4 linked regions of the Saccharomyces cerevisiae S288C genome follow. The protein of the gene in region 4 binds, or shares a complex with, the protein of the main gene of each other region. Each region holds a gene or a part of one and is shown on either strand. Other genes may lie near its edges.

The links.
Region 1: RSM25 (region 4) and MRP10 share a complex: the UniProt entries of both Saccharomyces cerevisiae proteins name them as parts of the mitochondrial small ribosomal subunit.
Region 2: RSM25 (region 4) and RSM10 share a complex: the UniProt entries of both Saccharomyces cerevisiae proteins name them as parts of the mitochondrial small ribosomal subunit.
Region 3: RSM25 (region 4) and MRP17 share a complex: the UniProt entries of both Saccharomyces cerevisiae proteins name them as parts of the mitochondrial small ribosomal subunit.

Annotation. Positions count from the first base shown.
Region 1 is NC_001136.10:370,334-373,136, forward strand, and holds MRP10 (mitochondrial 37S ribosomal protein mS37 MRP10), read left to right. Parts: upstream 1-1,914; coding exon 1,915-2,202; downstream 2,203-2,803. Other genes in the region: type 2A-related serine/threonine-protein phosphatase SIT4, read left to right, coding at 1-373; NPC2 (sterol transporter), read left to right, coding at 907-1,428; FAD1 (FMN adenylyltransferase), read right to left, coding at 2,355-2,803. UniProt on the Saccharomyces cerevisiae protein: Component of the mitochondrial ribosome (mitoribosome), a dedicated translation machinery responsible for the synthesis of mitochondrial genome-encoded proteins, including at least some of the essential transmembrane subunits of the mitochondrial respiratory chain.
Region 2 is NC_001136.10:538,069-541,020, forward strand, and holds RSM10 (mitochondrial 37S ribosomal protein uS10m RSM10), read left to right. Parts: upstream 1-1,734; coding exon 1,735-2,346; downstream 2,347-2,952. Other genes in the region: Na(+)/Li(+)-exporting P-type ATPase ENA1, read right to left, coding at 1-399; YDR042C (uncharacterized protein), read right to left, coding at 2,533-2,952. UniProt on the Saccharomyces cerevisiae protein: Component of the mitochondrial ribosome (mitoribosome), a dedicated translation machinery responsible for the synthesis of mitochondrial genome-encoded proteins, including at least some of the essential transmembrane subunits of the mitochondrial respiratory chain.
Region 3 is NC_001143.9:436,597-439,036, reverse strand, and holds MRP17 (mitochondrial 37S ribosomal protein bS6m MRP17), read left to right. Parts: upstream 1-1,544; coding exon 1,545-1,940; downstream 1,941-2,440. Other genes in the region: MET14 (adenylyl-sulfate kinase), read left to right, coding at 1-260; ESCRT-III subunit protein DID4, read right to left, coding at 493-1,131, 1,200-1,259; AUR1 (inositol phosphorylceramide synthase), read right to left, coding at 2,252-2,440. UniProt on the Saccharomyces cerevisiae protein: Component of the mitochondrial ribosome (mitoribosome), a dedicated translation machinery responsible for the synthesis of mitochondrial genome-encoded proteins, including at least some of the essential transmembrane subunits of the mitochondrial respiratory chain.
Region 4 is NC_001141.2:187,462-190,857, reverse strand, and holds RSM25 (mitochondrial 37S ribosomal protein mS23 RSM25), read left to right. Parts: upstream 1-2,073; coding exon 2,074-2,868; downstream 2,869-3,396. Other genes in the region: YIL092W (uncharacterized protein), read right to left, coding at 1-1,792; LYS12 (homoisocitrate dehydrogenase), read left to right, coding at 3,226-3,396. UniProt on the Saccharomyces cerevisiae protein: Component of the mitochondrial ribosome (mitoribosome), a dedicated translation machinery responsible for the synthesis of mitochondrial genome-encoded proteins, including at least some of the essential transmembrane subunits of the mitochondrial respiratory chain.

The sequences.
Region 1 (2,803 bases), on a different chromosome or scaffold from region 4:
CGAGGGTGGGTTCTCGGACCTGCTTTGGTCAGACCCTGACAATGTAGAGGCTTGGCAAGTTTCCCCTCGTGGTGCAGGATGGCTCTTTGGCAGTAAAGTTGCTAGAGAGTTTAACCACGTTAATGGACTGAACCTTATTGCCCGGGCTCACCAACTGGTTATGGAGGGGTTCAAGTACCATTTTCCTGAAAAGGACGTTGTAACCGTGTGGTCCGCGCCAAATTACTGTTATAGATGTGGTAATGTCGCGAGTGTAATGAAGGTCGATGAGGATCTGGAACCTACTTTCAAAATTTTCTCGGCTGTTCCCGATGACTACATAAGAGAATCCACGGCAAACCATAATAATCAAAGAGCCGGCTATTTCTTATAACACGACGGCATGCCCTCCCTAACTCGACGAATAAAAATAATTTTCACAATAAAAAAAAGACTACAAAAATCAGAAACTTTTTCATTACGCCATTTGCTACGATACGATACACAACAAGCACATTCTAAGAGCATTCCATTTACTATGGTCAAAATGACCAAATAAAAAATTAAAAAAAAAAAGAAGGAATGAGAACTAGTAACTACATATTCAACAATTGCAGTTTTCTTTTCCTTTTTGTCCTTGTCCTTTCTTTCCTATTTATATATATATATATATATATATATAATACTACTATGTTATATTACATTATATTATTATCACAATAATTATTACGTTCATCGTGCCGAAACGTCACCTCCCACGGTTTGGATCTATTGAAAGAGGGTGGAATCCCTGATAATAAAAAAACTTTAATCAACACTCGGGAGGGGAAATATAAAAGACTGGCGCTACTTAAAGAGCTGATTCGCCAAGGCAGAAAAGCATAACCATATTAAATCTTCTCCTTCAAAGCTAGCACGCCTTCCAAAATGACCCACAGCTTGAAAGCTCTATTCGCCTTGCTATTTCTTTACACAGCTGCTGTCAATGCGGGTGTGATTGGCATATTCAACGCCCTTCCCCCACCAAACACCAAACCAATTAACGGCGAATCTCCACTTTACCAATGTGACATTCTAGACAAGCAACTTGTGGAAATCAAAGAGGTCAATTTGGACCCTAACCCTCCTGTTCGTGGCGAAAATTTGACTATTTCTGCTAACGGTGAGGTCTTTGAAACTATAGAAGAGGGGGCATATATCGACGTTGAAGTCCGTCTAGGATACATCAGACTGTTATCCCAGACTTTTGATTTGTGTGAAACATTAGAAGATAACGATATCGAAGGCTTATCCTGTCCAATTGAACCGGGTGAATACAACATTAAGAAAATAGTTGAGATCCCAGGCGAGGTTCCACCTGGCAAATATGTTGTTGTAGCAAGAGCTTACACTGAAAAGGATGATCTGATCACTTGCTTAACCGGAGAAGTCATCTTCCCACCAAGGTGATCTGATTCATACAACTCATTGATCCGTGTTTATTTCCCTTCTCGTTCCATGTATTCTTTTCTTTTACCCCATGTTCTCTTCACCCGTTCGAGGCAGGGTTTTTCCTCTTTTTGTTATAACCACCATCTAGTCGAATGTGGTTACTCTTAATATTTTTTTGTCGGCCAATGCTTCAGCGCCTTTGTCAACACCTACTTCTTTTCCATTCCTTTCCTCTAATTAAAAATCATCTATTTAGTGTGTACGTATTAAAAACATGTCATTACATTGATATCTCATTGCAAAATTTCTCCCTTACGCACATCTTTGGTTATTATATATGATGACAGGTTCGTTCTCCGGGTAATGCGGACTTTACATATTAATTCTTTTCCCAGTATTTTAGGCAGAATATAAAAGCTTTGAGGCTTTAAGTGAGACAAAAGTCTTACCATAGCAACACGAGGGCTCGCCGAAACTTCCATCTAAAATAAAGAGTGCCCATTAATGTCCGGAAAACCACCAGTTTATAGATTACCCCCTCTTCCCAGACTAAAAGTGAAGAAACCTATCATTAGGCAAGAAGCGAACAAATGTCTTGTTTTAATGTCAAACTTATTACAATGCTGGTCTTCATATGGTCATATGAGCCCTAAATGTGCTGGCTTAGTAACGGAATTGAAAAGTTGCACTAGTGAAAGTGCCCTCGGCAAAAGAAACAACGTTCAAAAGAGCAATATTAACTATCACGCCGCTAGGCTGTATGATAGGATCAACGGTAAACCCCATGATTAATTTTATATCCAAAAGCAGCAAGAATGAAAACTTGATAATATTAAAGTCATGGCCTTGTATATACAAATTAAATAGTCTCAACGGAAAATATATAAACTTTTAATCTAATAGTAACATCAGCATTTTATTTTCTTTCCTCCGTTAAACCGTACTTAATTCTTGATCCTGCCTGCTCTCTCTAAAGTGTCATCAACCAAATACCAGCCAGGATAGTAATTGTCATGGTATTTGCTGAATCTTTCCTTATCCACCACGGAAATAGGTGACGTGTTTATAGCGGAACTACGTTCGCCTTCTGCGTCCTTGCCAAATGCATGAATGATTTCCCATTCAAAATGCAAGGCTGGATTATTGGAGTCCTTTCTCAAGTGTGGGTTAGGCAATGAGTTGTTAATTCCGCCGATTGATGTGAAACCTTTACCATATAGTCCACAAATTGGCTCATTAGAATACAGTAAGAAACTCCATATATTGGTTAAGTCCCAGTGTAAGAGAGGTTGCAACCTCATAAAATCAGGCCAGTTAGAATCTGTTCTTTGAATAGGCTTTAATGCTTCACCAAATGGGTCTGTGTGTCTAATACCTATCACTATAGCTTCGG
Region 2 (2,952 bases), on a different chromosome or scaffold from region 4:
AATAACATGAGCATTGGGAGAGCTCAAGTTTTTCAAAGAGTTCATTGTCTTGGTAGCCTTATATTCTTGAACTAGGCCAATGAGCACATTGACCGCGATAACAAAAGAAATAACGCCACCAGTAATCCAATCATGCATGGCAAACGAGATTATCATGGATATTAGAAGGACCATGATCATGGCATTACATACCTGATGGAGGACCATTGCCTTGTAATCAATTTTAGTGTCATCACCCAATGTGTTCTCACCCACTGTTTTCAATCTGTGGACGAACTCATCTTGGGTCAAACCTTCAGTTAGACTTGTGCCTATGAATTCAGCGGCTTCTTCTGCAGTCAGCGTGTGATAAGCATTGAATTCTGCATTATTGTTTTCCTTAGTAGTTCCTTCGCCCATCGAAAATTTTCAATTCTGTGTACGAAGTTTTTTCTTTAATTAGTAAATATACGTATTGTTGCCTCAAATAAATGTGAATTAAGTGTGAACAGTTCACTTGATGAAGATATCTGCTTTATTAAAGTTAATATTAGAATATAAATGATTAGACTATTACTAATGAGAAAAGAAAGATAGGAGAAATAGTAGAAATTAATAGTACTCTAAAAAGAAAGAACGGAATAAGAGGAAAAGACCTTTTATCTATTCAAATTGTTTCCCTTAGGTATATATATATATATATATATATATATATATTTTCCCTGTATATATCTATGTAAATGACGAAAACGCATGACATTTTAAAACCTACCCCGGGTTTGACCACAACCCACCGTTCATCTAATATTAACCCGCACCCACCAAGGAAAGAGGCAATAATTCGGGAATACTGCTCTAAGACCTTGTTTTTTCTTCTGTCAGGTGAAAGTATATGACCAAAATCTACATCCCTGCCCTAACAAACGTCATAGAAGTAGGAAATAAATGATGAGCCCCGCAAAATGACGCCGCACGGCGATGTTTAAGACCCTGTACTCACAATGTAACCACTTCGTGCAGAAGCTTCTGGGAGGAAAGGGTCCGTACATGAATTATCACACCCACACCCCTCATTCAATCCTTCTACCGCGCATGGTAATCAATCATAACAGGAAGCGATAAGAAAGTTTACATTGCACAGCCACCCTCATTGCCTCTGTGATTGAAGATCTGGGAGTGGGGCTAAAGGTGCAACTTCCGTACAAGAGTGACGAGATAAAGGATTTTCCACGGAATGGCTGACAAAATTCGGGGCTTGTGTGAGTTCCACGTGCGGATGACTTAATAAGCTCAGTGATTGTACTTTTGACATGATTGATGAACGGCTAGAGATAGCCACCGAGTGGCTACTTAGTAATAACCAGCGTAGGAAACAATTACGGATTTTGTTATCGTTCACCGATAACCCTAAAATATTGACCACACTGGTAGTCATTAGAATTTAACCAAGAGGGTAGCTTAGTTCGACCGATAATCAATATTACTGAAGTCTTATCAAATTCTGACTCTTGCCATACCGTTTCTTATCGTCACTGTTTAATCCGGAAATTAGTCATGTATCCACACATCCTTTATTAACAGCAGAGAGATTGGGCAAGAATGTTAGCAAACTATGTACCAGGCGGGTAATACCTGTACATCTATTTTCTTTTGAAAAGGAAAAAATGCAAGAAAGGGCATGAAATGAAACTATTTGGTACAAATTAGAATTATGCGAACCGTGCAAAATCAGAAAAGGGGGAAAAACATTGGCCAATGCTTAGAAATACCATTGCATTAAGATCATTTATCAGAACACAGTCGACGCGCCCATATCCTGTAAATGTAGAGGCAGTCTACTATGCTCCTTTAAAGTTACCTATCAAATATGGTGATTTAGTTGCAGACATTCAGTTAAGATCGTATGACAATGAAAACCTCGATTTTTATTCAGACTTCATACTTAGAACAGGTTACTATTTGGGTATCCCATTGACAGGTCCTAAACCTTTGCCCACGAGAAGAGAAAGGTGGACTGTAATAAAATCACCTTTCGTGCACGCTAAATCCAAAGAGAATTTTGAAAGACATACACATAAGAGGCTCATTAGGGCCTGGGATACGAACCCCGAAGTGCTACAGATGTTGATAGCTTACATTACGAAGCACTCTATGGCAGGCGTCGGAATGAAATGTAACTTCTTTCAAAGGTCCGAAATATCGCTGGACTTGGGTTCGGACGCCAATGGCCTCGAAAAATCACTAAGCAATATCGATGAATTGTATTCTCTGAGAAACGATGATAAAGCTCAAACTAGTGCTGTCGGACAAAAAGTATTGGAACTATTGGATAGCCCCGATTTTAAAAAACATTTGGAAAAGAAGTAAAAAGATGATGGCAATCCTATAATTACGCTGGTTCTTGGGACCGAAAAGATTTCGTACTTGTAAATAAAATAGGTGAAGAAGAGGGGCAAAAAGTAGTAGATTAAATGGTTATACTGAATTTATAAGTAAGTTTAATTATATTTTTTAACTATATGATGAACAATTTTGTACTAATATTGCGGCCCGTTATGAGTATTGCTCTTGCCATAAAAGTGTGTTCACTGCTTTGTTTCCTGGTACTGCATACCGCTTAATATTGTTATCGCTCAATAAATTTAGTTTCTGGAAGCTTTCCAAGGACTTACCAGGTAGCGGGCCTGAGAATCTATTTTTTAGTCCATCGGCTACAAAAATCGGTAGTATATTTGTTCTTGGTAAGTAAGCTTTGCTAAAGGAAAGTGTCCTTTTTCTGTTTGTATTCTTCTTCGAATTCCACCTGAAATGTTGGACATTCAGGGATGTGTGTAACCGATACTTCTGGTCAGAGAGTTTGTATACAATATACTCCGCTAATCTGAAAATGGTAAAAAATAATATAAAAACATTCTTGGTAGCAGATATGGAATCTGAATTCATATTGAGAAAGTTTCGCTCAGTACTCCAACT
Region 3 (2,440 bases), on a different chromosome or scaffold from region 4:
TACATAAGGAGGCTGGTTTGAAGTTCATTGAAATATTTGTTGATGTTCCATTAGAAGTCGCTGAGCAAAGGGACCCTAAGGGTTTATACAAGAAAGCTAGGGAGGGTGTAATCAAGGAGTTTACAGGTATTTCTGCCCCATATGAAGCGCCAAAAGCTCCAGAGCTACATTTGAGAACCGACCAGAAGACGGTTGAAGAATGTGCTACCATTATTTATGAGTACTTAATCAGTGAAAAAATCATCCGTAAGCATTTGTAATTTGACCGATTACTGTACATTTAATGATATATAAAAGATGTATATATATAATATAGAACATATTTATTCGAGGATTCATTCGAAAAAAAAAGAAAACTTTAGTGACGAGATTGAGTAAAGTGAAAAACTGAACAAATTTTCGGAAGCCTTTTGATTCTAAGTGCCTACTTTGATATCAGTAGTTGATGTATTATAGTATAGACCTATTATTCATTAAATATACTCAGAGCGCTCAAGTCTGCTTCTTCAAAGTGTTCAACCGAGCTTGCAAGTCATCGTCAGGATTACCGTGAAATTCTGATCCGGCGCCAATAGGTTCAGGAATCCCCATCGCTGTTTCTGCGATCGGCGCATTAGAAACCAGATTTTGAGGCGTGCTTTGCAACTGTGAATTCAAATCCACTCCAATCTCATCAAGAACTTTATTTACAATTTCGTCAGCTTCTTCGTCTTCATCCACCTCATCACCCATGACGTTATCAATAGCTTCGTCCATGAATTCCTGTCGTTGACCCATCAAATCACTCTGCTTTTCAAACTCCATCGATATCCTTTGCAACTGAGGTAGATTCATTGTTCTGTTCATTCCAGCCAAAAGACCAGTGGCCTCGCTCATAGAACGTGTCATTTGGTCACTACTTCGAACGGCCTGTATTCTCAATGATATCGCCTGAAGTTGAGCTTTCATGTTGTCAAATTTTTGGATGTAATTCCGGGTTCTTACTAAATCTTTTGCTTGAACTTTCGCAGCTGCAACTTGCCCATTCTTTGCCGATTTTTTAATTTCTGATACAAGTTTTTTATCTTGTAGTTCCAATTTTCTCTTTTCTCTTTCAAGCTCCCTCTGAGTCCTTTCTAAAGCCCTTTGATTCTAAAAACTCAAATAATTAACGTTAGTATGTTCACTAAAATAACTGATCCAAATACAGAACAACATACTTTTTTTAACCTCTCTTGCGGAGTGACATTCTTTCCAAATACCCACTCAAACAAACTCATTGTTTAACGTTCTGTGTCCAAGGGTGAAACAATCAGCCTTGAAGTACACTGGTCACAAATACGCTTCAACTGAATACGCATAATTCGAAAGGATGATTTCTGATTAGGAGGAGACGAAGTCCCTTTAATGCTGATTTTATCTATCTTTTCGCAGTTATCATCTAACCCGGAAAAGTTTCAACAAGACTTTAGCCTTTTAATGGAAACTCCCACTAGTTCAGCTTAAACAAAATAGAAAAGCTTCAACAGAGGAAAGAATAACGCAAAACCACCCTTTTCACTAAGATGCTTTATGAGCTGATCGGACTTGTTCGCATAACCAACTCCAATGCGCCAAAGTTGGAAGCAAAAGAATTGTCTTCCACAATCGGGAAACTGATTATTCAAAACAGAGGTGTGGTGAGGGACATTGTACCCATGGGCATAAGGTATCTTCCTAAAATAATGAAGAAAGACCAGGAAAAACATTTTCGAGCATATCACTTTTTAATGCTGTTTGATTCATCAGCTGCGGTACAGTCTGAAATTCTAAGAACTTTAAAGAAAGATCCCCGTGTCATAAGATCATCCATCGTTAAAGTTGATTTAGATAAGCAGCTGGATAGAGCCTCATCGTTACACCGTTCTTTGGGGAAGAAGTCTATTTTAGAATTAGTGAATGAAGATTATCAATCCATTTAGGTATAGCGCACAGGTTTTGACTGGGGACGCTACAAACACATGTAAATACATACATATCTTTCATACACATATAATAAACAAAGCAGGAAGAGCATTCTAAAAGCCTCACTTAACATAGACACCATTAAAAGCCACCCATTTATTTCAAAAATTTATAAAATTCTAAAGATAATCAGTGGTATGTGATTAAATAAACTACATGTATATTATGCTAAACGACAATCCTGACTAAGAAAAAGAAAGAAAAAGATATATATTTATATGTATCTACATAAGACCAACCGTATCCGTAATTGCAGATAAAATACTCATTAAGCCCTCTTTACACCTAGTGACGTTATAGACGTGGCGGACGAACGAGAAACAGAAGTAGATCCATCAAATAACGAAGGGCTTACACTGGGTTCATCAGTCATATTAAGATCAAAGTCAAGTTCCAAGTTGGACAAAGGGACACTTTCGATATCGTTTGAATCTGCAGCCAATGGATCACTCTTTGA
Region 4 (3,396 bases):
TATTGGTCTCTGCGTCTACCCTCTTGGACCTAGTAATACATTGAATACTATCAAAGCTTGCAGGTGATCGGAGAGTCGCATTTATGGTTTCATGCGGTGATATATAATTAGAAGGACGGTCATTAAAATGTGCACTCCTCGTGCGCACAGCAAAGTTATGCAGTGGGTAGCACTTTCGAGTTTTCAAATTAAGCATTTTGCTGTCTTCGTAAATGTTTCCTGGAATATTTCTGAGGCCCGCGATACGGCTTAGCCTATTTATTTCCATAGACACTCCAGGGCTTTTGAAGCTTTCTGATGGATTTAACTTTTTCTCCTTTTCGTTTGTCATGAACGGATTAAACTGGGCAATATCTTTAACCTGGCTACTCTTGCTGATTTCATTTTTTTTTACTGGATTACTAACTGTCGCAGAGCTTGTGGGCGGAAACATATACTCTGTTGAGGAGAAGCTATTCGATATACCACTATCTAGAACGCTCCCGATCTTTGTGCCCTGAATTTCAGCGTTTTTTTGAAATATATTTGATGTTATAGGTTGTAGTGAGTTTTTCTTGACGGCGCAGCACCTCTCATTCAAAGAACGTGAGTTTCCATCCATACGTTCATCATAAGTTGTAGTTTCCTCCTTCGTGCCTAAAACTTCATCATTAATTAGGTCAATATTAATTGTGCCTGTAACCAAACTGCCGCTATTCAAAATCGATATTGGCTCCACTGCACATTGTTGAGATTTACTGTTTTTAAGATTCGTATGGAGATCGCTTAAATTGGTGTGTCCATTTTTTGATGTGTATGCATTGGCAGAAACATTCCTAGATGTAAGAATATTCTTTTCCTCATCCATGACAAGAAAGAGCCGCATTCCAGGTTCATTTTGTTTCCGACGTTTAGGATCGGGTATGTGTTGACTGTTCTTATCAAAGTAATTTTTCTTATCACTCTTTTCAATAACCTTATTCTTACTTATAGTTTTAGTATTCGATAATTTGCTAACGATAGCAGTATTCTTACTCTTTGGAGTACAAATGTCGGAATCCCTCGTATTTTTATACCGGTATTTTTTATGATTAGATGCTCTCTTCGCAAATTCACAGGCAGTTATCAATAGTGCTAAATTCAAAGTCATTGGGAATGCACAATTTTCCAGTTGCTTTTGCAACTGTGGCTCCAATTTTGTGAGGAATAGATCCAACGCAGCACCAGAAGACAGATAATATGGAGTTAGACGTCCCGATTTATGGGCAAATGCTTCTAATGACTTCTCAGAATCAATGGACAACGTCAATAGTTCCGTAAAAATTTCCCTTCTTAAAGATCTTGCTCCATCAAATTCTTCTGATAGTAGAGCAAGAAATTTTTCAAAACTGTAAGCCTTTATCACATGGTCATCGATTCCCTCCGTTGTAGAATCAAACCATGTCTTAGCCCGGCCGGATAATGCAGAGCTTATAAGAAGTTTCAAAAACGTTCCTGTACAGCATAGTCCAAATAAGATATCTGTAATATCATCGGCCCATTGGACGAATATATTGTTATCATCACCGTCTTCAGCACTGAATTTTTTCAGATGACTCACTTTATCTAGCATTTTGAACGCTTGTTCATCGTCATCAATCTGTCTTGTAACACAAAAATTATTACACGCTATGGGCAAAGTTTCGCTCCTCTTTCTACGTCCACTGTGTCCCTTCTTGCTTCGCGGCGGCAGGGTATTTCCATTAGCTATTGTATCACTATAGTTATTAGTTCCCGACTCGTATGCCATGTTTTTGGATCTCATTTGCACCATTAAGCAAAAAGAATCTGTTGAACGAGGACCCTAACCCAAGACAGCTAATATACTGCTTTTTTATGACATTTTTCATTTGGTCTTCATTCTTGCGCATCTTCTTTGAGAGTTGAAATTTCTTTGATACTTCGGCAATTACAGAAAAGTGCAAGTTACAAGCAATAAAACCAATAATATTTAGATACTGCACAAAAGTCTAAGAAAATAACCTCATTAGAAGCTTGGAAAAGGAAGAAGGACATTGCGCACCATTCAAGAAGAAGATCTTAGAATTCTGAGAAATGAAGATACAAACAAATGCTGTAAACGTCCTTCAACGGACGTCCGCTTACTTGAAATCAGGATTGTTGAAAGAAACACCTGCGTGGTACAACGTTGTAGCGTCTATCCCACCATCAACCAAGTTTACACGTGAACCTCGTTTTAAGAATCCTTCCAATGGACACATCATAGGAAAACTTGTTGACGTAACAGAACAACCGCATGCCAACAATAAGGGACTTTACAAGACAAGACCCAACTCGAGCGACAAAAGGGTGGGCGTGAAAAGGCTGTACAGGCCACCTAAACTAACATACGTTGAGGATAGGCTCAGATCGCTCTTTTACAAACAACATCCATGGGAGTTGTCGAGACCTAAGATTTTAGTGGAAAACGAAATTGGTGATGAAAACTACGATTGGAGCCATATGCTTCAGATAGGAAGACCACTCGATGGTGAAAGTGTTATCCAGCGAACTATGTACTTAATCAAAACGAAGCAGTATGGGGACATGGTCGAAGCATATGACCATGCCAGATATGAATTCTATGCGTTGAGAATGCAAGAAGAAACAGAGCAGCAAGTGGCTTTGGAAGAAGCGGAGATGTTCGGATCCCTCTTTGGAGTTTCTGCCATTGAACATGGTATACAAAAGGAACAAGAGGTCCTAGACGTCTGGGAAAAGAAGGTAGTTGAAGAAACTGAACTAATGGCAGCAAGGACAAGTAACCCTGCAGGGTCGTGGAAGGACGACACTACATTGAATACGGCGCAAGAAGAAGAATCCACCACTTCCGAGAACCTCCACTTCTAGGTGGGCTGCCTCTTTTCTCCAACGTCACCTAACCAACCTGTATATAATTAAAAACAAACGAGAACAACACATGTAGTGCTAAGTAATTGTCGTTCTCAAATTCCACCTCGATTTTTTCAACTGCACTGAAAATTCCCACTCTTTTTTTTTTTTTTTTTTTTTTTTTTCACTTTTTTCCCGTGGAAAAATATTCTTAAGATGACTCTAATTAGAGGAAAGAACAACAAGAAACTAAACTGGTTCTACAGTTATATAAGGACATCTTAACTGATTTAGAATTAGCTAAGACTGTATCTATGCGATTATTATATTAGTGCGACATATTTATATAACTAAGATAGTAACGCACTCAAAAAGATGTTTAGATCTGTTGCTACTAGATTATCTGCCTGCCGTGGGTTAGCATCTAACGCTGCTCGCAAATCACTCACTATTGGTCTTATCCCCGGTGACGGTATCGGTAAGGAAGTCATTCCTGCTGGTAAGCAAGTTTTGGAAAACCTTAACTCCAAGCACGGCCTAAGCTTC